2 linked regions of the Elephas maximus indicus genome follow. The protein of the gene in region 1 purifies or fractionates together with the protein of each later gene. This does not show direct contact. Links are inferred from orthologs where the notes say so. Each region holds a gene or a part of one and is shown on either strand. Other genes may lie near its edges. The genes, in order: EED and AEBP2.

The links.
Region 2: the proteins of EED (region 1) and AEBP2 purify together in Homo sapiens (affinity purification with mass spectrometry; 6 studies listed by BioGRID and IntAct, counting the BioPlex papers as one, with this or other methods). This does not show direct contact. The link is inferred for Elephas maximus indicus from reciprocal best matches to the Homo sapiens genes EED and AEBP2.

The regions. Positions count from the first base shown.
Region 1 is NC_064825.1:35,346,150-35,358,715, reverse strand, and holds the start of EED (polycomb protein EED), read left to right. Parts: upstream 1-6,858; 5' UTR 6,859-7,231; coding exon 7,232-7,345; intron 7,346-12,566. UniProt on the Homo sapiens protein: Polycomb group (PcG) protein. Component of the PRC2/EED-EZH2 complex, which methylates 'Lys-9' and 'Lys-27' of histone H3, leading to transcriptional repression of the affected target gene.
Region 2 is NC_064822.1:78,272,634-78,284,863, reverse strand, and holds the start of AEBP2 (zinc finger protein AEBP2), read right to left. Parts: upstream 5,591-12,230; 5' UTR 5,398-5,590; coding exon 4,748-5,397; intron 1-4,747. UniProt on the Homo sapiens protein: Acts as an accessory subunit for the core Polycomb repressive complex 2 (PRC2), which mediates histone H3K27 (H3K27me3) trimethylation on chromatin leading to transcriptional repression of the affected target gene.

The sequences.
Region 1 (12,566 bases):
GAAACAGTAAAACTAACCTCATTAAATCTGTTTCCTTCTCTAAAAGAGGTGAGAGCTAGTCTTAATGAAGAATGTTACCCCTTACTCTAGGGAGTATTTGGCAGCCTGTGAGATGGTTGTCACAATGATTGGAGAAGCTATTAGCATTCATAGGTTGGGGCCAGGTATGTGTAATATCCTATCCTGCAATGCTCAGGAAAATTCCCTACATCCAAAAATTTTTGTACCCCAAATGCATTCCCGTTGAGAAATACCATTAGGTGGTCTCCTATTGCCCTTCCAGCTCCAAACTTGTTAGTGAATTCTATTTATCCATTTAAACTGGAATTGCTTTAGTGTTCTAAACGTCAAATTTAACAAGCAGACAATGTCAGCCAAGTGGAAACTAAAACCAAATCTGTTGCTGTTGAGTCAATTCCGACTCATAGCAACCCTATAGGGCATCGACGGCACTGGTACTGGGTAGGGCAGAGTAGAACAGCCCCATAGGGTTTCCAAAGAGCAGCTGGGAGATTTGAACTGTTGATCTGTTGGTTAGCAGCTGAGCTGTTAACCACTAAGCCACCAGAGCTCCATTGGTCAAGCAGGCATCCTTATTCCTGAGCATAGGATTTAGAAAAACTGTGAAGGAGAAATCAAATCAGTACAATTTTCTTGACTCTGGATATGGATAGACATGATCTCATTTAACTGCATGCCTCAAATCTTAAATGAGCTTTTGAATATTTGAGTTTTAGAACCCCCCGCCCCGAGCATTTTCCCGTGCATGTTTTCCTCTGCACTTTTAAACTCATGTGCCCTTCAAGAAGTGTAATCCAGGTTTCTGATTCACTTACACTTAGCTTATCAAAATCTCCTTTTACAGTTCTTTGAGACTCTGCGCCTTCTGAATGCTTGAACTAGCTCTATCAAGTCTTTGTTTTAAGCACCAGAAGTCACTGTTGCTCTTTCAAAGAAATGAAATAAAGCAAGAGCCCGAGTTGGAGTAAATTCAAAATCCTAATTTAGTTCCCTAGGTTCTTTTGTGGGTGTGTGTGCTTTAAGTGAAAGTTTACAGCTCAAATTCTCATACAAAAATCTATACACATTGTTATATGACACTAGTTGCAATCCCTATAATGTGACAGGACACTCCCCCTTTCACACTGGGTTTCCCCGTGTCCATTCAACCAGCTCCCGTCCCTTCCTGGCTTCTCAACTTGCCTCCAGACAGGAGCTGCCCATTTGTTCTCATGCATCTGCTTAAACTACAAAGCACACTCTTCACGAGTATTATTTCATGTCTTATAGTTTTTTTTTTAGTCCAGTCTAACCTTTGTCTGAAGAGTGGGCTTTGGGACCCTACGTTCTTTTTTAGAGCACGTTTATTTTTACTTTTACCACATCTTTACTTGAAACTTTCTTGTATATAACCCTGTTTAAGGTTCTCCATTACACATTTTAAAATATACACATAGCTTCAACCCAAGTAAGTTTTGCATAAAATATATTCCTTTCTTGCCTTTGTAGTATGTACTGTTGGTGGGTTAGTATCAAGGTCAGTGGTCCAAAGACAAACTGTTTTAGCGGTTTTTTTTTTTTTTTTTAAGTGCCTCATGTTGTTTTTCAGAATCTGTGTAATTTAATCTATGTAATTATCCTTTCAACACAAAAACTGCCCTGGTGTTGTTTTATTCCAACAAAAACAGCACAATCCAACCTGAGAAGCTAATACTCCTGAGACATAATGCAAGAACAAACCAGTATGTTCCCCAGGAAAAAGGAAAGCCAAATGTTAACAAAGAAATTGAAAATGCAGTTTTGCAATTCTAAAGGGCTAGCCTCACAGTTCTAAGTTAAACATCAGATCTCAGAACTGTTTGGGCACTGGCTTTAACTTAGGGATCGTAATGAATTTCTTTTGGCTGATTAGCAATCTTTCAGACAATTTAAAGATTACAAATGTTTAAAAGAAAAAAAAAAAACAACCAAAACTCCTGTTCCTCTGGCTTTGACACCTACAGTTTTATTTCATAAACAAGCATTTATCTATAATATTCCAGATTCTTAGATAATGACAGTTAATTAACTTGACAATAATTGTAGTCTATTTTTCAGAGAATTAAGTGCATAATATGTACCATGCAATCCACCAGGTGCTCCTTGGAAACCCTATGGGGCAGTTCTACTCTGTCCTGTAGGTTTGCTATGAGTCGGGATTGACTTGAAAGCATTTTTTTTTTTTTTAATGTACCATGCACCAGACAAGACTTTGCCCTCAACAACAATATACTTAACACTTAAAATCAAAATTAAATACAGAAATATTCTTTTCAGGAAATGAATGAGAATTGGGCTATTTAAAATATTTATCTGTTTTTTAAATCAAAATGACATATTTTCTTAATCTAAAAGCATTACATGCTTATTACCAAAAATACAGAAAAATAAAAAGAACGAAAGGAAATACACAAGTACACCAACCCAGAGATAAACACGTTGGCAGCTCAGTGGAAAACCATATAGTGCAGGAATTAAGAACTCCGGTTCCAGAGTTAGGCAGTGTGCATTACATTTAGTAGTTCCATCACTTACTGCCTCTGTGACTTTGAACTAGTAATTTAATTTCTCTGTCTCAACTTCCTCATCTGTAAAACAGAGATGTTTTGAAGATTAAATGAGATAAATCATACAACATGCCTGGCATATAGTGAGTGTTCAATGAAATTTACCTCTTGGTTCAATTTTCTAGATACTTTTTGTCTTAGTGTTTGAGTGGGAACGTTGTTGGTTTTGATTTACGTTTGAAAAGAGTGCTGAAAGTCTCAGAAGAAAGTCACTTATAGTCAGCATATGTTTTTCTTCATACTTTTTAAAAACTATGTAAGGAAAAAATTGTGGATAAGATCTTATTATTCTTAAAATCAAGGCTGCTGATTTTAAATCAAGAGCAACCCTTTATTTTGTCCAGAAAGCAAAATACATTTATCATTCAACAATTTTTCACACAGTAATCCATGTTTTAAGCTCTTGCACATGTATTATCTTGCTTAATGCGCACAATAAACAAACCTCTTTTAAACACAAAACACTGGAATTACTTTCGTTTTTTAAAAGCTAACTTCTCCCTTAAATTAATGATGGACAATTGACTTTTGCACTTGCCTCCTAAGACTGTACTTGAGTTTGGGGAGAAGTGAAATTACATCATGTCTTTCTGCTCAATACCAAAAGTTAAAAATCCCATCTTCTTTCCTTCAACTTCTGTCTTGTTTAGAGATCACATCACTCAGGAAATCAGCCAAACTATCAACCTGAGTCATTCTATGCCCACCTCCCACCACCCCACATGTTGCTTGAGTTACTGAGTCCTGTTGGTTGAAATTCTTAAATATCTCTGGAAACAACCCCTTGTTGTCCATCCTCATCGCCACTGCCTTAGTTCAGTTCTGCAGTTTTGCAATGGCTTCTGAACTCATCTCTCTACCTCCATTCTTACACCCTGACCACTGCCAAAGTGAAAACTCTTCTTCGGTCATGCACTGCTTATCAATGGCATAAGGCTTTTCATGATCTGGTCCCTCCCCAGCTAACAAGACACTTATTGATATGCCATAAGCCAAAGTATTAAACTTATGCTGTCACCTCTCAGGTGACTAGAATATGAATGTCCACCCGTTAGTGTTACTTCCTTGCTGTTATTAAGGAAACCAGAAAACTGAATTATTAATCATAGGTAGTACTCAGTAGGCAAAGAACAGAGGGCTTTTTAAAGGGACTTTGTCTTACTTTCCCTTTTACTCCCCACCTTCCATCCCCATGGATACTGCTTTGCATATAGACAGTATTCAGTAAATTTCTCCTTATTGATTTTGAAATGTTCAAAGAAGCCATATGATCTTATGTTCACAGAAAAATAGATCTGTAAGCATATTATTACACATTGCAGGAGTGATGAACAGCTGTTATTTATGAAGCAGAAGATACAAAAAATGTTGAATGAATGAGAAATAGACTTCAACTGAAATAGAAAAGATTTAATTTAGCTCTTGAAACTCATTTCCTGATATGAAACTTACAAGATATTGGAAGACAATACTAAGGGAGGTTGCGAGTTCTCTTTTTTTATGTAACTAAATGATCTTTGAAAGTTTTTCAAGATAGATCAACCACTTTCTTGAAAGCTAAGGGGTATTTCTGATGAGAGTTCTCAACAGTTCAACAGTCTAACATGAGATAGCTTTTTTTTTTTTTTTAAATAAATTTTTATTTTGGGATAATTACAAAGTTACAAAGATAGAATAGCATTTGTGTATACTCTTTATCCAGTTTGCCTTATTGTTAACCTGTTACCCCCGCTGTTAACATGTTACAAAACCAAACCCACAGCTGTGGAGTCAATTCCCACTCACAGCAACCCTTTGTAAACTTCTACAGAAGCAGACTGCCACATCTTTCTCCCGTGGAGCCGCTGGTGGTTTTGAACTGCCAACCTTTCAGTTAGCAGTTGATCGCTTTAACTACTGCACCAGCAGGGCTCCTTTACATTGGTACATTTGTCAAAATTAAGAAACTTAAATAGTACGTTATTATTAACTAAACTCCAGAATTTATTTGGATTTTCCTGTCATGTCATCCTTCTGTTCCAAGAGAGATAGCCTTTTTTATGTTCTTTGAATAGTGTGTAAGACATTGGCCTAAAGATCAAGCTCTGTGCATCCCACTGCAGCATGGGATTACATAAATCTAGAGTTGCTTGGGTCCTTCATTTTGAGGCTTTGGAGTCAACCAGCCTTGAATATGCTCCCCAGCCCTGCCACTTGCAGAGCCAGGTGTTTTCAGGTAAAGTGTTTAATCACCCTGGGCTTCCGTTTCCTCATTTGTAAAATGCAGGTGGTAAGACCTCTTCAACTGTGGTGGTTCCTGAGATCCTCCACAGTAAGAGAATTCAGTGTTGAGAAACTTACTTTAACGTATTATATTAACTTAATACCATCAGGGTAGCACTCTAAATAGAATACCTTTGATATTTTACATATCCTAAACTAGTAATAATGAATATTAATGAAGTAATTTCCATTTATCATGCTTGACTCACCAGAACATTTTTAAAAAATTCCTCCAAGTTTTAATAAGACACTTAAAATATTTTTGCTTTGTTACAGATAATGTTCATGCTGAAAGGCATTTTCCTCCCATAGGTGTCCATTATTCAGAAGTTCAACACTTTTCTGATTTTATGACTAGAAGTTGACTCCCAGGTTCCAGTTTTCATTGATCCCAGACACAGAGTAATGTGGATTTGAAATACTTTAGTTGATTATCCTTTAGTTGTAGACATATATTTCACATTCTTCCCAACAGGTAAGGGGAGTATGTTTGTCTCTGCACATCTTACTTTCTCAGTAGCTGACTCCATACCACTCTCATCTCTCTTCTCACCAACTAAGGAGTGCTTAGCAGTACCTGGCACATTAGGATTCAAACAATAACTGCACTTATTATTATTAAAATCTCAACTTAATTTTTTTTTTAGCTTCCTTATTTTCCTGAGTTTTCATTGCAAAAACCTCTTATTTTGCCTTTACCACACTTTTCTCATTCTCAACCAGGAGTTCTCTTCTTATCTCCAAAACAGTGACTTGCAACCTGCAGATAATGAAATTGATTTTCTCTCTGTGAAAGCATCATGCAGAAGTAATTCACGTATACTAGAATGTTATGGAAGGGGCAGTCTAGACTGGCAATCTTTTGGGTGATGTAACAAAGTAAAAAATGAGAAAATGTACATAAAATCAAGTCCGTGCTCAAAAAATTTGTATCCTTTATTTTTAAAGATGAGGACACTGAGTCACAGAAAGATAACTTGTCACAACCATGTTCTAAAAAAAGGTGGGAGGGGCTAGATTTTATCTCCTGTCATCCTTCTTTTCCTGCTGCTCATTCAGTTACGCGGCTTAATGACCCATGTACCAAATCCGCAAAGTTCACCAATATATTTGGCACCGGTCAAGAGCCCAGATATGGTAATACTCATAAGAGAAGCATTTTGGTGAAGTACAAGTTTTAGTGCTGTCTCAAAAATTTTATTATACCTGATGTGCCCCCCCCCCAAAAAAAATTGTCCGTCGTTTTAGTCTCATCCATTGTTGGAAGCGACCACTGATTTATGGGCCTTGGCGTTGTCTGGGCCTTAATGATCCTTCAGCAATTAAAAAGAGGGCTTCGGCTATAATTCTTGAAGGTCTAGAATCATATTATGATTACAGAATATTCCTACTTAAGCCTTAACCAATATTGGCACCAAGTGGGTGAGAATAAGCATTCATCGCAATAAATACTCATCAGAATAAATATCCACCAAGAATTTAAAATGCATCCTGAGACTAAGACTTGGTAGCGCTTTGGAATCCATCCTGGACTACGGAAACCGACTAGAACTCTACCTGGTTCAACAAACAAGATTTCGAAAAGAGGAGGGGTGTAGAGGAGGCGGGTCCGGATGGACCAGCGCGAGAATACGCTCCGGCGCATGCGCGTCTCCTAGCTAGTAACTTCCATTTCTAGACGGGGGAGGCGAATGGAAAGCTGTCTACAATTTTGGAACATCTATTCCCAAAAGAAAACTAAGTTGTGAAAGATTTCGTGGAAAACCATAAGAGAATTATCCTCCGAGTTGATGACTAAGGATATGCTTCGCACACGCCGCTGAAGCAAGAGGTGACTTCTCGTGTTTTCCCCCGTCCTTTGGGACATTGGTGGTCTAGTCCATTCCACATACTTTCGAGCCCCTGCAGCGGGTCGAGGATCGAAGGTTTGGGCCAATTGCGGCTGAAACGGCTTTGGAAGGAGAAAGAGAGTGAGGGAGAATCCCTCTGAGTTCCATCTCTCCTTTTCGAGGCGGGAGTGGTAAAGGGGACGTACGAAATACTGCCCTCGAAAGCCAACGGATCACACCTCTCCGTGCAAATTGCCAGAGGACTGCGGGAAAAGGGCAAGAGGATAGTAGCGAAAGGGAAGGAGCCAGAAAGCCGCGCGGGAGGGCGCGCGAGCGCGCCCCTTTTTCAGCAGTGTGGCGGGGTCGCACGCACGCCCGCCTCGGCGGCTGGGCGCGGTTTGCGACAGTGGGGGGAGCGGTGGCGGTGGCGGCGGCAGTGGCAGCTTTACGGCAAGCTCTGGCCGGGCTTGCTTGACGGCGGTGTGGCGCAGGCCCCGCCCGAGGCGGCAGGAACCTGGAGGGAGGCGGAGGAATATGTCCGAGAGGGAAGTGTCGACAGCACCGGCGGGAACAGACATGCCTGCGGCCAAGAAGCAGAAGCTGAGCAGCGACGAGAACAGCAACCCAGACCTCTCTGGAGACGAGAATGTAAGTGCAGCCCGGAGCAGTCCGGTCGGTACTCTGGAGTGAAAGTTTTAAATTCTTTTTAAACTGTAGGCGCTGGGGCGGGCGGGCAACCGTAGGGTGGAGGGAGAGGTGTCACCCTCTACTCAGGAAAACGCGGGCGTGGAGGAGAAAATTGAACTTGTCTCTATGGGGATGTTGAGCTGGGGCCGAGGGCAAACAGAAACGTGGGGAAGGAGGGTGATTTAAATGGTTGTTTGATGAGCAGAGGGTCTGAGGTGGTCTGCTCTGAGATCCTCTTGGTGTATGATTGACGGGAGGGAGAGTGTTTAGGCCTTCGGGTGATTTTGGGAGAGTGCGGATCTGAGATTCCAGTAGTTTAAAAGGCGTGTTAGAGATTTTTTAAGAGAGTTGGAAAGAGGGGGATAGTCTGTTAGGGCCTCTTAAGGACTTGGGGGACGGTGTCACTCATAGACCCTTGTGAATTTTCAGGATGGAAAGCATAAATCTTCGACTTATTGGGTTTGGGTAACTTTTAAGGGGATTTTGTGTCTGCTCCTGTCCTGCTCATGGAGATGGAAAAGCAGATTGAGAGTCACCTTCTGACGTGTAGGGGGAATGACTTTGAGGAAGAAATGAGAAGGGATGGTTTCTCCTTTGAAAGTTGTTATTTCAGATAAGCGGGACGACCTAAGAGAATTTAGGCAACTGAGTGGTGAATGCAAATTGGCTTTGGAATCAGACTTTTTTTGTTTAAGTTCTGAGATGGATCTTGGTAATCATGTAGTCCCAACAGTTTACAAAGCTGTGTTTAGATGACTCGCCTGTAAAAACCGAACTGACATTAATAGATGTGGATTGAAGAATGAAATTCACTCTGCAAGTAATCCAGCTAAAATTCTTTTTTTGAAAAATGAATGTATAGGTAAGAGTAAGTGAATGATGATTAGTGAAATATACTTGGAACTTCCAGGTGGTAACAAGAGAAGGAAGTTTCAGATTTATTTAGGATCCCATGGAAAGCCTAATATTGTTTTGGTTTGTGTACCAGCCTTTTTCACTAGAGAAAGGATGGACCTTTTCTCCTTCAATCCTACAGTGTGCTTTCAAATCGCTTGGGTTTTATAAAAGTGGCAAAATAAGTTCAATAGATATTTTGGAGTAATTGATTCTTCACCAGGTACACAGATACTGGTATATAAACCAGGTTCTTGTTCTAAGTTATATCCAGTAAGGTCAGCAAAATGTCCGACTCATAGCAATCCTATAGGACAGAGTTGAACTGCACCATAGAGTTTCCAATGGCTGCTGCCACTTCTTTCTCCCCCAGAGCAGCTGGTGGATTCGAACCACTGACCATTTATTTGGTTAGCAACCAGGTGCTTAACCACTGTTCCACCAGGGCTCCTTAAAATGTCTAAAAGATTGTTCATTCAAGGCTATTACTGCAAAATATGAACCCTTCCTTATCATAGTATAATAATTTCTCAGTGCGTTAAGAATTTTTAAAGGGTTATGCTTGGGTGGTGTAAGTTCTTCATTTTCTGAGTTTGGCTAGTTTTTTAGGAATTGTTATATCTTACACCTTCAGTTCCTAAATTCTATATCATAAACACTGACGCATATATATGGAGACTTTCTTTTTCTTTATTTTGATGAGTAGGTTTGTTAACTTTCTTTGAAATTTATCCCTATCTTCCTAAGTTTAAACCGGTCTTTTATTACTTGGTATTGCCTTGACGTCCTCTCTATTTGGAAGTTCTATACCTGTATTGTTTATTCCCTTTTTTTATTGTTCTGTCATTGTCATTTACAGATCTCTCTGGCTCCGTGTTGTAAATCTTTTAGTTTTGTTTTATCCTTGGGAGTTCATTACCTAGGGTAGTGTCTGACTGATACTGTCTTGTGTCCTAGATTCAGGTTGATGTCTGATATTTTTGGTTCTCTAACTGAAGGACTTTCTTTAATAATTCTTGTAAGCTTGGCTTGGTTTTTACATATTCCCTTAATTTCTGTTTATCTGGAAATGTCCTAATTTTGCCATCATATTTGAGCAAGAGTTTTGCAGGATATATTCTTGGTTGGCAGTTTGTCTTTCAAGGTTTTATGTATGTCATTCCATTGCCTTCTTGACTGCATAGTTTCTGCCCAGTAATCAGAGTATAGTCTTATTGCTTCCCCTTTTGTATGTAACTTAGTTTTTCTGGAACTGCTCTTAGGGTTCTTTGTCTTTGGTTTTAGCAAGCGTGGTTATGATATGTCTTGGTGATTTTCTCTTGGGGTCTATCCAATATGAGGTTTGTTGAACTTCTTGTATGGTCAGCTTTTCGTCTTTAGGGAAGTTTTCTGTCAGCAAGTCTGCAGTGATCCTCTCTGTGTTTTCCATTTTCTCCCACTGTTCTGGAACTCCCATCACATGCAAAGTTTTGCTTTTGATTGTATCCCACATCGTTCTCAGGGTTTCTTCATTTTTCTCCATTCTTTGATATTTCTTCAAAGTGGTGTCCATAGATTTGTCTTCGATTTCACTGATCATATCTCCTGTTGTTTCAGATTTGCTCCTAAAACCTATTGCATTGTCCATTTCTGGAATCTTATTGTCATTTGAATTTCTAATTGCTGTTTTTTTTTTTTTAATGATTTCTAGCTGTTTATTTTGATGTTTTGTTCCTTTATTTTTCTTAATTCTTCCATTGCTTTGTCTTTGTTTTCCCTGATTTTTCTCTATATTTTCCATGATTTTGTCTATTTTTTCCTTATTTTTGTCTGCATTTTCTTCATCTCTTGGAGAACCCTGAATTTTAGAGTTTTGAATTCCCTATCAGGTAGTTTCAGTTCCTTTTCTTCTACCAGAAGGTCATTGGTGTTTTATTTTGGTTGCTTTCTGGAGCCATCCAGTTATGTTTTTTAATGTGTTTTGATATTGTCTGCTGTGGCCTGTACATTCAGGAATTATTTTCTTAGTTTACTGATTGTAGATTTGTTTGTTTCATCCCCCTTTTTTGTTCTATTTGGTTACATCTGGGCAGGCAGGCTGGGAGTGTTTTGTTACTTGCTCACCTGTCGGCATGATACTTCTTTCCACCCAATCCAGGTGAGCAGGTCCGGTCACTCAGCTATGGTGCATCAGGGTAGGTCCAGCGGAAGTGGAGGGGTGGGGATGGGTAGTTTGCAACACAAACTGGGGACTACAAGGCAGGGCTGGGAGCAGTGCTGGGTGAGGTTGGGGCGGATCATGTTGGTGCTGCTCAGGGGCGCAGTGCAGGTAGGCAGGAGGGGCGCAGTGCAGGTAGGCAGGAGGGGAGGGAGAGGATGTGATGCATAGAGCTAAGTGGGTGAGTGAGAGAAGAGAGGAGAGAGAGAAACAAAAGCAAAAAAATGAAGGAAAAAAGTAAAATGACTGGTAGGATTTGGTGAGTAGGGGTGGAGCTGACCCAGCTAGGCCATGTGCTGGTGGCTCTCTAGCCAAGTGGTGCAGCTTGACCTGTTGAAAAGGGGCATGGGTGGTGCACGGGGCTAGGTGGGTGGTAGAAAGGGAAAAAAAGGGGGGGGGGGGGGAGAAGAAACCAACAAACAAAGAAGTAAAGTTAAGAAAATAAAAAATAAATAAAAGCAACAACAACAACAACAAAAATATGGTAGGAAGGGAGCCAGCTGTTGGGGGCGAGGTGGAATTGGGGTGGTGGCAAACTGATGTTTCACTCTGGACATGTCAGGAAGGGGCAGAGGCAGCACAGGGCCTAGGTGGGAGTGAGAAGGAAAAGGAAGAAGGGGAAAGATAAAGAAAAATAAAGAATATGGTGCTGAAGGAGCCAGCCTGTGAATGCGGCACAGACCTGGGGAGGCCGTGTGTCAGAGGCTTTCCAGCCGAGTGGTACAGCACAGCCCACCAAGAAGGGAGGTGTGGTGCATGGGGCTTGGTGGATGGGAGAAAGAAAAAACAACTAAAAAGAAAAACAAACAATATATAAAATGGCACTGAAGGAGCTGGTTGGTCATGGCACTGCACCATGTTCTCTGAAAAAGGGGAGGGGATGGCACACTAGGCTAGCTGGGTGGGAGAAAGGAAAGGAGAGAGAGAGAGAGAAAGGCAACAAAAAAAGCTTAAAAACAAAAAAATGGCGCTGAGGGGGCTGGCTGATGGGGGTGGGGTGGACCCAGGTGGCAGTGAGCTGGTGTGTCACCGGCCAAGTCACTGTGGCCCATTGGAAAGCGATGGAGGCCTTGTACAGGGAAAAAGGGTGGGGGGGTGGGAAAGCATGTATCCCTGGTTACTGGGTGCTCTTTCTCCACGAAGTTGCCTTTCTATACTCCTTGTCTGTGTTCCTTGGTGGCTGTAGTCCAAGATGGCAAATCCGTACTATGTTAGCTGAAAGGGGACCTCTATTCGTAGCCCTCCTTGTTCTTTGTTCTCTGTCAGTTTCTTACTCCACTGGGTGCTTGCTTGAGCTCTTTATTCCTTCATTTGATGCTTAGGGTTCCAGGATTGATGTTTGTATCTGTTTTACTTAGTTTTTCATTTTTCAGGTCTTTGCTGCAGAGGCGTGGCATGCTGCTTCTGTCTATAGCACCATGTTGGCTCTGCCTCCCCTGAATCATATATACAGCATGGTGTCATTACCAAGATTTTCACGGAAGAGGTGGGAAAGGATTCTTTTTGTAGGTTGAAGAAAGATATTTTAGGATTGTCAGCTTGTAGGATCTTAGACTTGAAGTTTCTTGGAAAAGTTTGGGTGTTGAATGTTACTTAAAATCTTTTTTTTTCCTGTTTGTGCTTCCCATATATATTGGGGTCTAACATTTTTGACCCTCTTCATTCTAGCCCTTGGAGCCTGTTACACTTCCTGGATTTTCTTAAACTTCTCTAGACAGATTAGACTAGTGGTTAAGAGCACAGACACTGGATCTAAATGCTGGGTTAAAAATCCTCTTCATTGATTGTTTGACCTTGAGCAAGGTACTTAACCTCTGCCTCAGTTTCTTATTCAAAAAATGGGAATGATAATGATACAAAGAGTACTTAATCTCCGTCTCAGGTTTCTTATCTGAAAAATGAAGATGTTAATGGTGCAAACAGTTAAACACTGGACTACTAGCCAAAGGATTGGCAGTTTGAAAGCACCTCAGAAGACAGGCCTGGAGATTTGCTTCCAAAAGATCACAGCCTTGAAAACATTATGGAGCAGTTCACTCTGCATGCATGGGGTTGTGGGATCAATTGGTCTGCAAGTAACAACAGTGGTAT
Region 2 (12,230 bases), on another chromosome or scaffold:
AATAACCTGGTTTGGTAGCAAACGGGTCTATAAACAGGATTTCCTAACTGATCCAACAAAGTAGTCTTAATGTTTCTTAAAAGTAAAATGGACCCCTAAAATCTCTCTATATAAATTCAATTCTGAAATCTCTATATATATTTTATTGTTGCATTGTTTTGTTTTGAAGAAAGCCATAATCTTACTCAACTGAGAGTTACAACGTGTTATCGGAAACCCTGATGGCGTAGTGGTTAAATGCTACAGCTGCTACCCAAGAGGTTGGCAGTTTAAATCCGCCAGGCGCTCCTTGGAAACTCTATGGGGCAGTTCTACTCTGTCCTAGAGGGTCGCTATGAGTCGGAATCGACCCCACGGCAGTGGTGTTTACAATGTGTTATCAATCAAAACTGAGACCTATAAGAAGCTCTTTTCTCTAAATTTAATCAAAATGAAACAGAGTTACCTAACAAAGGGATTCTGGAGAGGCTATGGACAGCTGCTTCAGAGCACCTAGTAGAGTTCTGTTATGAAGTACATGCAAAAATTACTTTACATAAAAGTATTTTATTATCTCAACCATAAAGATCCTCAATAAATCTCAACAATAATCTCAATACGCAGCTTTCCAGTAATGACTTGATTTCAAAGTTTAGCCTCTATACTAGAAAAAGAACTTCCTAATCATGCTACTGGGAAGCAATAAAAGCCAGCTTTTCTAGTTTCAAAGCAATCTTAGTTATATCTCCAAGTTCCCAACCCAAAGGGCTGGGAATCCAAACCTTGACATGCACAAAAAGGTAAGACCCTTGTGGCCTTTGATGACCATTAACTTACTATAAGCCTATCACCACTTCCTCACATATATACTTTTCACTTGACGTCTGGATTTATCCCAAAAGGCTGTTAAAGTGGCTGAAAGTCATCTTAGCTTTTATAAAATAAGTTATGGCTTATATTCCAGTTGGAAGAAAAAAAACATAACATAAAATGTTGTTGTTGTTGTTAGTTTCCATCAGGTCAAGTCTGACTGACAGCGACCCCATGTGTGCAGAGAACTGCTCCAAATGATTTTCAAGACTATGACTTTCTGGAGGAAACCCTGGTGGCGTAGTGGTTAAGTGCTAACGCTGCTAACCAAGAGGTCAGCAGTTCGAATCCACCAGATGCTCCTTGGAAACTCTATGGGGCAGTTCTACTCTATTCTATAGGGTCGCTATGAGTCAGAATCGACTCAACGGTAGTGGGTTTGTTTTGGGTTTTGGGACCTTCTGGAAGCAGATCATGAGGCCTGTCTTTTGAGGTACGTCTGAGTTTGAACAGTCAACCTTTCACTTGGTAGTCAACTGCTTAAACTAACCAATTGCGCCACCCAGGGACTCCTTATATAAAAGACAAATAACCACAAAAAGAGAGCCTATTATTATCAACTCCCCTATACATAAAAAAGCTGAAGGTTCTTTTGTGCATAATCTGATTTAATAGCTAGAACTAACTTGTAAACTAAAAAATGTTACAGGCATTTTAAATTCTAAAACTTTAAATGCCAACTCAGCCTCTAAAATCACCTAAAGGAAAACCGTAGTAGCTTTTTTAATCGTAAGCTTAAGTTCAAAGTCAAAAAAAAAAAAAATTAGTTTTAATTGTCTAACATTATTCTCCCCAGAAAAAATTCTATTACCTTTGTAATCAAAGTAAAATTACATATCAATTTTACGATTTTCTAGATTTACTGACCAAAACCAACCCAGTGCCATCGAGTGGATTCCAACTCATAGCGACCCTACAGGACAGAGTAGAACTGCCCCACAGAGTTTCCAAGGAGCACCCGGTGAATTCAAACTGCTGACCTCTTGGTTAGCAGCCGTAGCACTTAACCACTACGCCACCAGGGTTTCCAAATTTACTGAAGTAAACACATTTACAGACTTAAGACAATTTTAAATAACTTTCTCCTGGGGAAAATAACTTTTTTTGTACAAAGTGTGATTTAACAGTTTGATAAATTACTCACTTTTCACCACACAACACTTCCAAAACAAGCTTGTAAAAGACACAAAAATGAAAATACCACTTTAGGTCATAATCTCTAAGTCTTTGTACTTAATTCTTCTTTTAAAGGAGATAATTAAAATTAAAGATATTTAAGAGATCTCAACAAATTCTAAAGCATTTCAGATACGCTCAAAACTATAATCTAATTTTGATATGACAAACTGAACAGGCACTCTAACAGAAACGCAGAGTAAATTCTGACACTGTAACAGTAATACCTAAATATTTTTAAAAGCACTTTAAAATCACAATATCTTTCCACCAGTTATAAAAGACTTTCTACCATCAAACCAATTTATAAAATCTCCACAGATTGGGTAACCTTCAGTACAATTTGTAGAAATTATGGATCCTTTCCAAATTTAAACTGAAAAAAAATTTTTTTCTTTAAATCCTCAAAGACAACAAGGGGACATTTCAGAATTAAGATTATTAAGACCACAAACCAGTTTCATTAGTAATGTAAGGGTTTTCATGCAAGTGATAAATCTATTAACCTACAACGGTATGTAAAAATTATTACAATATTTCACAGTTTCTAATGTTTGAGCATTCTTTAAGAAAGGCAACTATGCTTGGTTATGTAAGTTTTAACCTTACATGGATTTGTGACACCAAATTTCACTCCTACTCTAATAAGGTATGATGTAAAAATTATTCAAATGAATCTAATGAATATCAAATGAAGTCAAAACTCCATTCTGTGAAACATTACTTGACTAACAATTCCTGGTCTCCGGAAAGGATGCAGTTGACAGATATTAACACACACAACACACATATAAAAAAAAGAAACAACCCTGACATATACAACGTGTTACTTAAAGTGAATTATTCTAACTCTTGTAAAGTGGAAATAGCTGGTGACTTGGGAACCTTAAAGGAGCCCTGATGGTGCCGTGGTTAAGCACTCAGTTGCTCAATGAAAGGCAGCGGTTGGAACCCACCAGCTGCTCCACAGGAGAAAGATGTGGCAGTCTGCTTTAATAAAGACTGCAGCCTTAGAAACCCTATAGGGTAGTTCTACCTTGTCCTACACGATGATATGAGTTGGAGTCAACTCCACCGCAATGGGTTTTTGGTTTTGGGAACTTTCGTTCAGATCCAGCTCCACCGCTTTCAAACTATACTGTTTTGACATGGAACTCAACTTGCTTCTTCAGAGTTAAATGAAGTCAAAACAGTATTTAAACTGCACCATACTGAGGATGAAACGACTGAGACACTGGAACTGCGCAGTATCAGGCAAATGTGCTTGTGTCTGTAAGTATACTCACAACAAACTATGGTAGATGCCAACTACATAAACTACCATGAACTTTCAAGTACCCGATGATATCAATGACAGAGGAAATAACAAATGATAAATAGAATGTGCTTCACTGAACAGTTCACATCAATTTTTAATTTTCTTGAGAATACGTTCCTTCCTGCCCATGCCTATAGTTAAGTACAATATATCTAAGGTTTGCACAGTCTATTTACCCCATCCACAACGTTTTCTTCACAAGACGATAAAGTAGATGTCAAACAGAACCAAATGCTAGATTTTCAAAATATCCAAGCCCTTCTAGTCTTTGTTACATTAAAGACAAACTGATGTTCATTTTTATCAGTCAGCCATCACAATTCCTGTGGAACTTTAGGATACTTAAACTTTTAAACCACAATCGATCCTGACGGTTAGAAATTCTAGCAGATGCTCAAAATAAATTCTAACGTATTTAATCGGTACAATATGGGTGAAGTGTTTCTCTTTTTAAAAAATATATTAAAATACGAAGTTTTCCAAAGGGATCAAAAGTAATGATTGCAACAACTGAAGCATATACTACAACAATTTTCTAAAACGTTCTGAAAATACTGGGCACATTTTTAATTACTCTCCACATTATTTCCAATAAGCTTTAAAAAGTGGTAATAATCCCTTCATAGGCCTCTCCAATACATGACTTTAAATATTATCATCTAACATCACAATTCTCACTTTTAAGCATTACTGTAAAGAGTTTAAAACGGATACTAGTATGTGGTGCCTTCAAGACTATTTTCTTACGAGTCTTTGATTTAGCAAAGTTATTTTAAAAAACAATTCGTTATTCTTTCCTACAGTGATTTGGTCACAAAATAGATTATTAAAAATCACGCTGGGTACCACATTAATGACTACTAAAAGGGAATCTGGAAAGCATTCATTAAATTTAAAAGAATAGTCTTGTTTTAAGTAGAAAAAATGATAGTTGGGGTCTCCTTGCTGGACAAGGAAGTTATGTTAGATTCAAGCGAGACCAGCCATGTTGGAAAACACTTGTCAATAATAGTTCTGACAAGTGTTCACGAACACGCTCGGATGAAGCTAACCTTGTGTATCGTGGTATACATCAAGGTCTCCTGCTTCACCTGGAGGTCTGGGCCTGCTTTGGAGACTGTTTGGGAGTTAGACCCGTCCTTAGATCCGTAAAGAGTGGAAAGCTGAGGGGAAAGAGGGCGGGGAAAGGAGAGTTGGGGGGCGAAGGGAAACGGTTTGAGAGTTGGAAGCCGCTATCCGCTGCAAGAGGGGCGCGGCGGCGGGGAGCGATTTCCGAGTTGAGAACCTAAAGGAGGGGCCAAGGGTTCGGGGAGTAGGAGATCCCATCAAAAAGTCCCCCTGGTCCCCTCTGAGGGGGCCGGGAGCGCAAGAGGAGGGCAAGGGGAAACGCTTCAGCGCACTGACCTGTCCTCCGAGTCCATGCGGCTCAGGGGCTCCCCATCCGACGACATCTCCAAGCTGCCTCGCCGGCCTCCGGAGGTCGCGCTGCTTCCGCCTCCCCCGGTCCCGTAGCCCTCGTCTCCGCCGCTAGAGACGACGCTACTGCTGCTGCTGCCGCCCCCGCCACCGCCCTGGCTGCCCCGCGGTCCCTTGGGCTCCTCCAGGCCCTCCTTGCCGTCCCCATCGCCGCTGCTGCTGCTGGCAGCGCCGGGGCTCAGCGAGCGCGTCTCGTCGCTGCTGCTCCCGCCGCTGCTGCCCACCAGGCTCTCGGCGCTACTCTCCTCCTCGCCACCGCCGCTGCTGCTGCTCTCGTCCTCCTCCTCGTCTTCGTCCTCGTCCTCATCTTCCCCGGCCTGGCTGGCACTCTCGGGGCTAGGCTCCGACATCGTCTCCGCCTCGCCGCCCCCCACTCCGCCGCCGCCGCCCCCACCAACGCCGCCGTTCAGCAGCAGCGCCGCCACAGCCTCGGCCTCCGCCTCCTCTTCTTCCTCTTCCTCCTCTTCCTCAGGGGGCTCAGCCCGACCCCGTACCGCCGGGCCAGGGCTGCCGGGGGGCAGAGGGCTCAGGCGGGAGAGCTCCTCCAGGTCGGCCATATCAGTGATAGCGGAGGCCATGGCGGCGCCTACTCCTCCACCTCCTCGCCGCCGCCGCCGCCGCAGCCGCCGCCTCCTCTCTCGACTCTCGCTCCTTCGCCCCCTCCCAAACGCCCAAAACTCAGCCGACGCCGCTGCAGAGCAGGAGGAGGGCCCGCAAGCTGCGTCAGCCTGCACACGCGCTACGGAGCCCGCGCGGGGACAGGCGCGCGACTGCGCGCACTCACGCGGAGACAGCTGCGCGCCTGCGCGGCGGCACGTGGTGGCGCCTCCCCTGACCGCCGATCCCGCGCTCGTGTCCGCGCCTCTGCGCCCGCCCGTACCTCGTTGAGTTCTCGGAGTTTCCTCGGGAGCTTCCCACGTTTTCCACGGCCGCGCTTCCTCGGGACCTTCCCACGTTTTCCACGGCCGCGCAGTGGGCGGGACGCGAGGGAGCGAAAACCCGAGCGCAGGTCGGAGATTTTAGCAACACACAAAGTTCTCTCGATAAAGTAATTCACTTCGGAGCTTTTTGGCCCAGCGCCCGTACACAGCGGGCAATTTCCAGGCATAGAACAAGTCCGTGGCCGTCAGAGTTTACAATCTACGAGGAGAGGCGATTAAAATGAACGAAAATAGGTAACACCATAAAAAAACATGCAAGGTACTAAATCCATGTACACAACATAGAGCCACAAGTTTTTATTAGCCTGTGTCTGAATCAAAGCTTTGAACCGGTTTTTCTAACAAGTTGCCGAGGGATGCTAATGCGGCTGATAAGAGACCAATTCTGAAAACCACTAGTAGAGCCCAAACCAACACTTATTGCCCTTGAATCCATTACGACTCAAAGCAATCCTACAGGACAGAGTAAAACTGCCTCGTAGAGTTTCCAAGGAGAGGCTTATGGATTCGAACTGCCCACTTTTGGGTTAGCAGCCTGAGCTCTTAATCACTGTACCACCAGGCCTCCATTAGTAAAGCCCACTCACTGCCATTGGGTTGATCCTGACTCATAGCGACAGTATAGGAAAGAGTAGAACTGCCCAATGGGATTTCCAAGGAGCACCTGGTAGATTCCAACCACTGACCTTTTGGTTAGCAGTCATAGCTCTTAACCACTATGCCACCAGGGTTTCAAAGTAGTAGAGCAGTGGTTCTAAAATTTTATTATACATAAGGATCACCTGGGACTCTTATTAAAATATAGATTCTAATTCAGTATATCTGGGGTGGAAATGCAAATTCTCAGCAAGGGTTCAAGCAGCTCCCAGTTTGAAGCCCTGGTATCTTCGAATGATCCTTACCCATGTCTATCACGTTGTGTTTTCCCCTTTTATAAGACACCACTCAGAAGGGATTAGGACCCACTGTACTCCATTAAGGCGCCCTGGTGGCACAGTAGTCAAGCACTCAGCTGCTAACCTAAAGGTGGCCTCAGCACACCAGCTGCCACCTTCTCCTCAGGTGAAAGATAAGGCAGTCAGCTTCTGCCCTATTATAGGGTCACTTTTTTTTTTATGAGTCAGAAGTCACTATGAGTTGGAACAGCAGTCAAGAAATCAAAGGATCATTGGGCAAATCTGCTGCAGAAGACGTCTTTAAAGTGTTGAAAAGCACTGATGTCACCTTGAGGACTAAGGTGCACCTGACCCAAGCCATGGTGCTTTCAATCACCTCATATGCATGTGAAAGCTGGACAGTGAATAAGGAAGACCAAAGAACAATTGACAATTGATGCCATCGAATTGTGGTGTTGGAGAGGAATATTGAATATACCATGGACTGCTAAAAGAATGAATCTGTCTTTGAAGAAGTACAACCAGAATGCTCCTTAGAAGCAAGGGTGGTGAGACTATGTCTCACATACTTTGGACATGTTATCAGGAGGGATCAGTCCCTGGAAAAAGACATCATGTTTGGTAAAGTAGAAGGTCAGTGAGAAATGAAGACCCTCAACAAAGTGGATTGACACAGTGGCTGCAACAACAGGCTCGAGCATAACAAGGATCATGAGGATGGCTCAGGACTGGGCAGTGTTTCGTTCTGTTGTGCATAGGGTCACTATGAGTCGGAACCAACTGCACGGCACCTAACAACAACAACATGAGTTAGAATCGACTTGAAGGCAGTGGATTTGGTTTTGGGTAAGCACACTTGAAACTGTGTATACAAATTGACATTTAAGAGGTTTTTTTTTTTTTTTTAATTTCCTATGACCATAAAACTTTTAAGTGTTATTATTTAACGATCAAGCAAATATATTTCATTTTTTATAAGTAAGTATTAAACATAAAAGTAAAATTTTATTGGAAATACATCTTACAGAAATGGACTTGGATGGATTTTTTCAACTAGTTTATTTTGTCAGTGGATGAGTATTAACGAGAACAAGAAGGAGTTCAGCATGAATTCTGTTCTTTCAATTCTGTGCGTGTAAGTGTTGAAAAGACATAAGCGTTGAGAAAACTTGTTCACATAAATAAGTACATGCCAATGAATGGAGTTTTGTATAGCAATGTCACTCAGCTCTTTGCACTCCTTCCAAATTACGTGCCAAAAAAGTCAACAATGACACTTTTAACGATCTGTCAGCTGATAACTCTGACTAGACACTCCTTCAAATTTGTGGAAAGCAAGTAACTGAAAACCACCTGACTTGTAAAAGGATACTACCCATTCTCATTCACCAGTATTCCCAATTGTCCCCTTCTTTGGTGTCCCTGGAGGTTTTTGTCATCCCAGAGGTTTTTGCACCTTTCTAAAATTCTGGATGAGATGGAGTTATGTCTTTCATTTGTAAAATAGGAGGGGGGCAATTGGAATAAGGAAGTGGAAAAGGAGATCACATTATACCTTGACCAACTTCAAGGCACGTTTTCAGGCAGATCACTTTCAGGGGTCAGAGAACTGATAGCCTTAAAAAAAAATCTCTGCTTATTATACACATCTTGGAAGTTTTGTGTCCAGTATTATGTCCACTGCCTTAGGCCTTTGGACGGCTGTTGCATGGAATGTTGCCTCATGGGAAAGCAAAAATAATAAATAATTGTTTGTGGCATTATAGTTTACAAGTACCTTCTTCACACACACTAAAACCCAATTAAAAAGCCCAATGCTGTCAGGTCACACACACACTACAACATGTTAAACTCAGAGCCACAATATAGAGCATGTTAGGTAGATGGATAAGGAAGGAGTGTTATCGTCCTGTGCTGTAAATGAAGAACTATCACAGTTTAACTTGGTTCCTCAAAAGTGTTTGAGTGTATGTGCCAGGCAGTGTGTTAAGCACGGGGGAGTAGGCTCACTTTTGGCCAGGTTAATCGTGGAAAGCTTCATGAAAAATGTAGGATTTGAACAGATGTGTAGAGTTAAGATAAACGCTAACTACGTGTAAGTTTAATTTGAGCTGGATCTTGAGTGATTAGAAATACGTGTGAGGGGAAATTCTACGATTAAGAAGCAATAACATGGAAAAGTATAAAAATTTATTCAAGACAGTGTTTATTAGCCACAGGAAAGCAAAGCTAGAAAGCTAAAAAGAGTTAAAGACCAGATTGCAGAAGGTCTTGAATAAAAAGTTTTGATGTTGAAAGACAATGGGTATATACTGAGGTATTTTAATAAAGGTGTAATATGATTAGGGTTATGTTGTAATGCTACCTAATGCGTAGGGGAGAAAAAGTGAATGGAGATTAAAAACTCGCTGCTGTGGAGTCAATTCTGACTCATCACAACCTGGTAGGACAGAGGAGAGCTGCCCCATCCGGTTTGAAAGGCTGTAAATCTTTACAGAAGCAGGCTACCACATCTCTTTTGCTCAGTGCGGCTGGTTGGTTCAAACAGCTGACCTTTCAGTTAGCAGCTGAGCTCTTTAACCACTGCGCCACTGGAGCTCCGTGAATAGAGATTAGACACCTGGAAATAATAGTTATCGAAGCTAAAATGAATGCTCCAGCTGCAGTATTTACACCTGAAGACTAAAATCAGCTATCTCGGAATTGGCTTTATGGAGAAAAAGTGAATTTCCCATCACTTAGGATTTTTTTTTTAATTACCAATTTTCTGAAAAATTGCAAGAATTACATAATAAATACCTGTACACCTACCTAGATTCATAGATTACTAACATTTTACCACATTTGCATTCTCTGTGTCTCAAGTTCAGTTGCAGACAGCATTGATTTTTCGTGCATCTCCTAGGAACAAGGCCACTCTCCTACGTAACTGCAGTGTCTTTGCTTTCAAAATTTAATGCTGAAGTCTTTAACTACAGGAAGGACTTCCTATTGATAGAGACTCTCTAGGCAACATTAGGTGAGATGATGGATGATAGTGTACCACGCGTGGTCCACAGAGCAGTGTCTGTCCACGAACCGGCAGTTTGTCACTGGTCTGAAACGAGATGAGTACCGAAATTAATGTTTAGAAATGTTTATACCTACTTGACAGAGTAAATTGTCAAGGATTTCATTTTACTTGGATCCACAATCAACGCCCACGGAAGCAGCAGTCAAAAATCAAAGGATGTATTTCATTGGGCAAATCTGCTGCAAAAGACCTCTTTAACGTGTTAAAAAGCAAAACTATCACCTTAAGGACAAAGGTGCACCTGACCCAAGCCATGGTATTTTCATTTGCCTCATGTGCATGTGAAAGCTGGACAATAAATAAGTAAAAAACCAAACCAAACCTGTTGCCATCTAGTCAATTCCAACTCATAGCAACCCTATAAGACAAAGAAAAATTGATGCCTATGAATTATGGTGTTGGCAAAAAATATTGAACATACCATGGATTGCTAGAATGAACAAATCTGTCTTGGAAGAAGTACAGCCAGAATACTCCTTAGAGAAAATGCTGAGACTTCGTCTCAGGTACTTTGGACATGTTATCAGGAGTGACCAGTCCCTGGAGAAGGACATCATGCTTGGTTAAAGTAGAGGGTTAGCGAAAAAAAGGAAGACTCTCAACAAGGTGGATTGACACTGTGGCTGCAACGACAGGTTAAACAGCAGTGATTGTTGAGGATGGCACAGGACCAGGCAGTGTTTTGTTCTGTTGTACATGGTGGGGTCACTGTGAGCCAGAACCAACTCAACAGCACCTAACAATAACAACAAATCCAAAAATAAAAAATCAGAGCTTGTATTTTTAATATCTTTTTTAATTAATTTCATAATTCTGGTAATTCATTTTTACTGTATTTTATAAGTGTATCTGTCAGTTGGAAATTTACCAAAGAAAACTGGCCCTTCACACATTAAGAATCACTTTTCTACAGTTCCATCCTTCCAGCTTGGAGAGTGTGTGATTCTCTATGTAATTATCAATTGCCCAGTAACACCCATTGCATAAAAGTTGTTTGATTAGGAATATTATCCAAATCCATCAGTCACAGTACTTACTAATAGGATCAAATTAGCAACAATAACTCAAATTTCAGTGGCTCTTCTACCTAGCAAACCTACTAATATAGTCATGACACCTCCAACTTCCAGCAAAATGCATCGGAAAATATCTCTGAGAGCTCCTGCAGCAGGGCTTTCTCTCACATGCTCACTAACTCCTCTCCCAACCCGCTCCCTCCGCACCACCCCTGCTGAACCACTGTTCTAGGCATTGCAGGCTCCTACCAGGAACTGTGATACAAACAGCCAAAGCCACAGTGTAGTGTGAGGACATGGAGACCTTTGTGTTGATCTCTGTTAGGGGAACCCCAAAGCAGACTGCTTATGCCCAATATTTTACACAGTTTTCAGTGAAATAGCTCTTTATGGTCTTACTCAGAGCTTTGTCTCTCTCAGGGACCCAGACGTGCTCTCATGGGCCTAGATTGGCGACAGATCTGAGTAAGCTACCCCAGGCTGTATTTATTACTCCCCATCCAATGACTAAGTCTTTCTGATAAGAGTTCTCTGTCTAATTCTCTTTTCCACTAAAATGAGTTTTATTCTAGGAAGCAGCCTCAGCTCCCATGTAAGCAAGTTTCTTTCTGTACTTTCTCACCAGTTTACTAGACAAGCCCAGACATGCTTGAACCCCGGCAATAGACCCACTTTAGATTCAATCTGAGATTCCTCCTATACTATATGTGAGATGCTTCTGGAAAATTCTCTAAAATAATGCAGCTATTTCAGGTTTTGTGCCTTTAGGTTCCTCATTGTGTTATTACCATAGTGAGAAGTGTCAATAGCATAACCTCATTCTCTGACTGACTTGTAGTTTAAAGGAAGTATGTATGAAAAGAGGTAACATCTCACAGGATGATGAAATGATAGAACCTTAGAACTGGAAAGAACTAGAAATCGGATGCCAGCCTTCCAATCTGTAGGTTGTAATCCAACCAAAACAAAACCACATAATGATTTCTTTTTGAGTTAAAATCTGTCAGTGTAACCATTTTGAAATACAAGTGTTTTAGCTGATGCCCTTCCACAATAAGGAAATCATATACATGTGTATTACTTTGAATTTCATAAAATGCTTCTATAAACTATAGGTGAAGGGGTAGGCAAAATGTGAAAAGTGAATACATAAAGGCCTCTTTTTTTGGTCCTTTTATGTGTTTTATATCTGATTTGCTAGCCGAATAACTTTATTAGATGTTCAAAACCCAGTTATTAAAATTGGATCTGACAGATTAGTTATTGTAGCATAGCAGTCACAGTACCAGCTAATACTTTTATCCATCAAATCCCAGGAAAGGCAGGAAATAAGATAAATATTTAATGAGTGGCATACAAAGTCTCTGAGCAGTTTGGATAAATTAACTTGGCTTTTAGAAAGCTTCAAGCCTAATTAAAGCAACCCCCTTCTCTTTACTTAAGTGTACAGATATCCATGGCATCTATTTTGACTACTAATCTTAG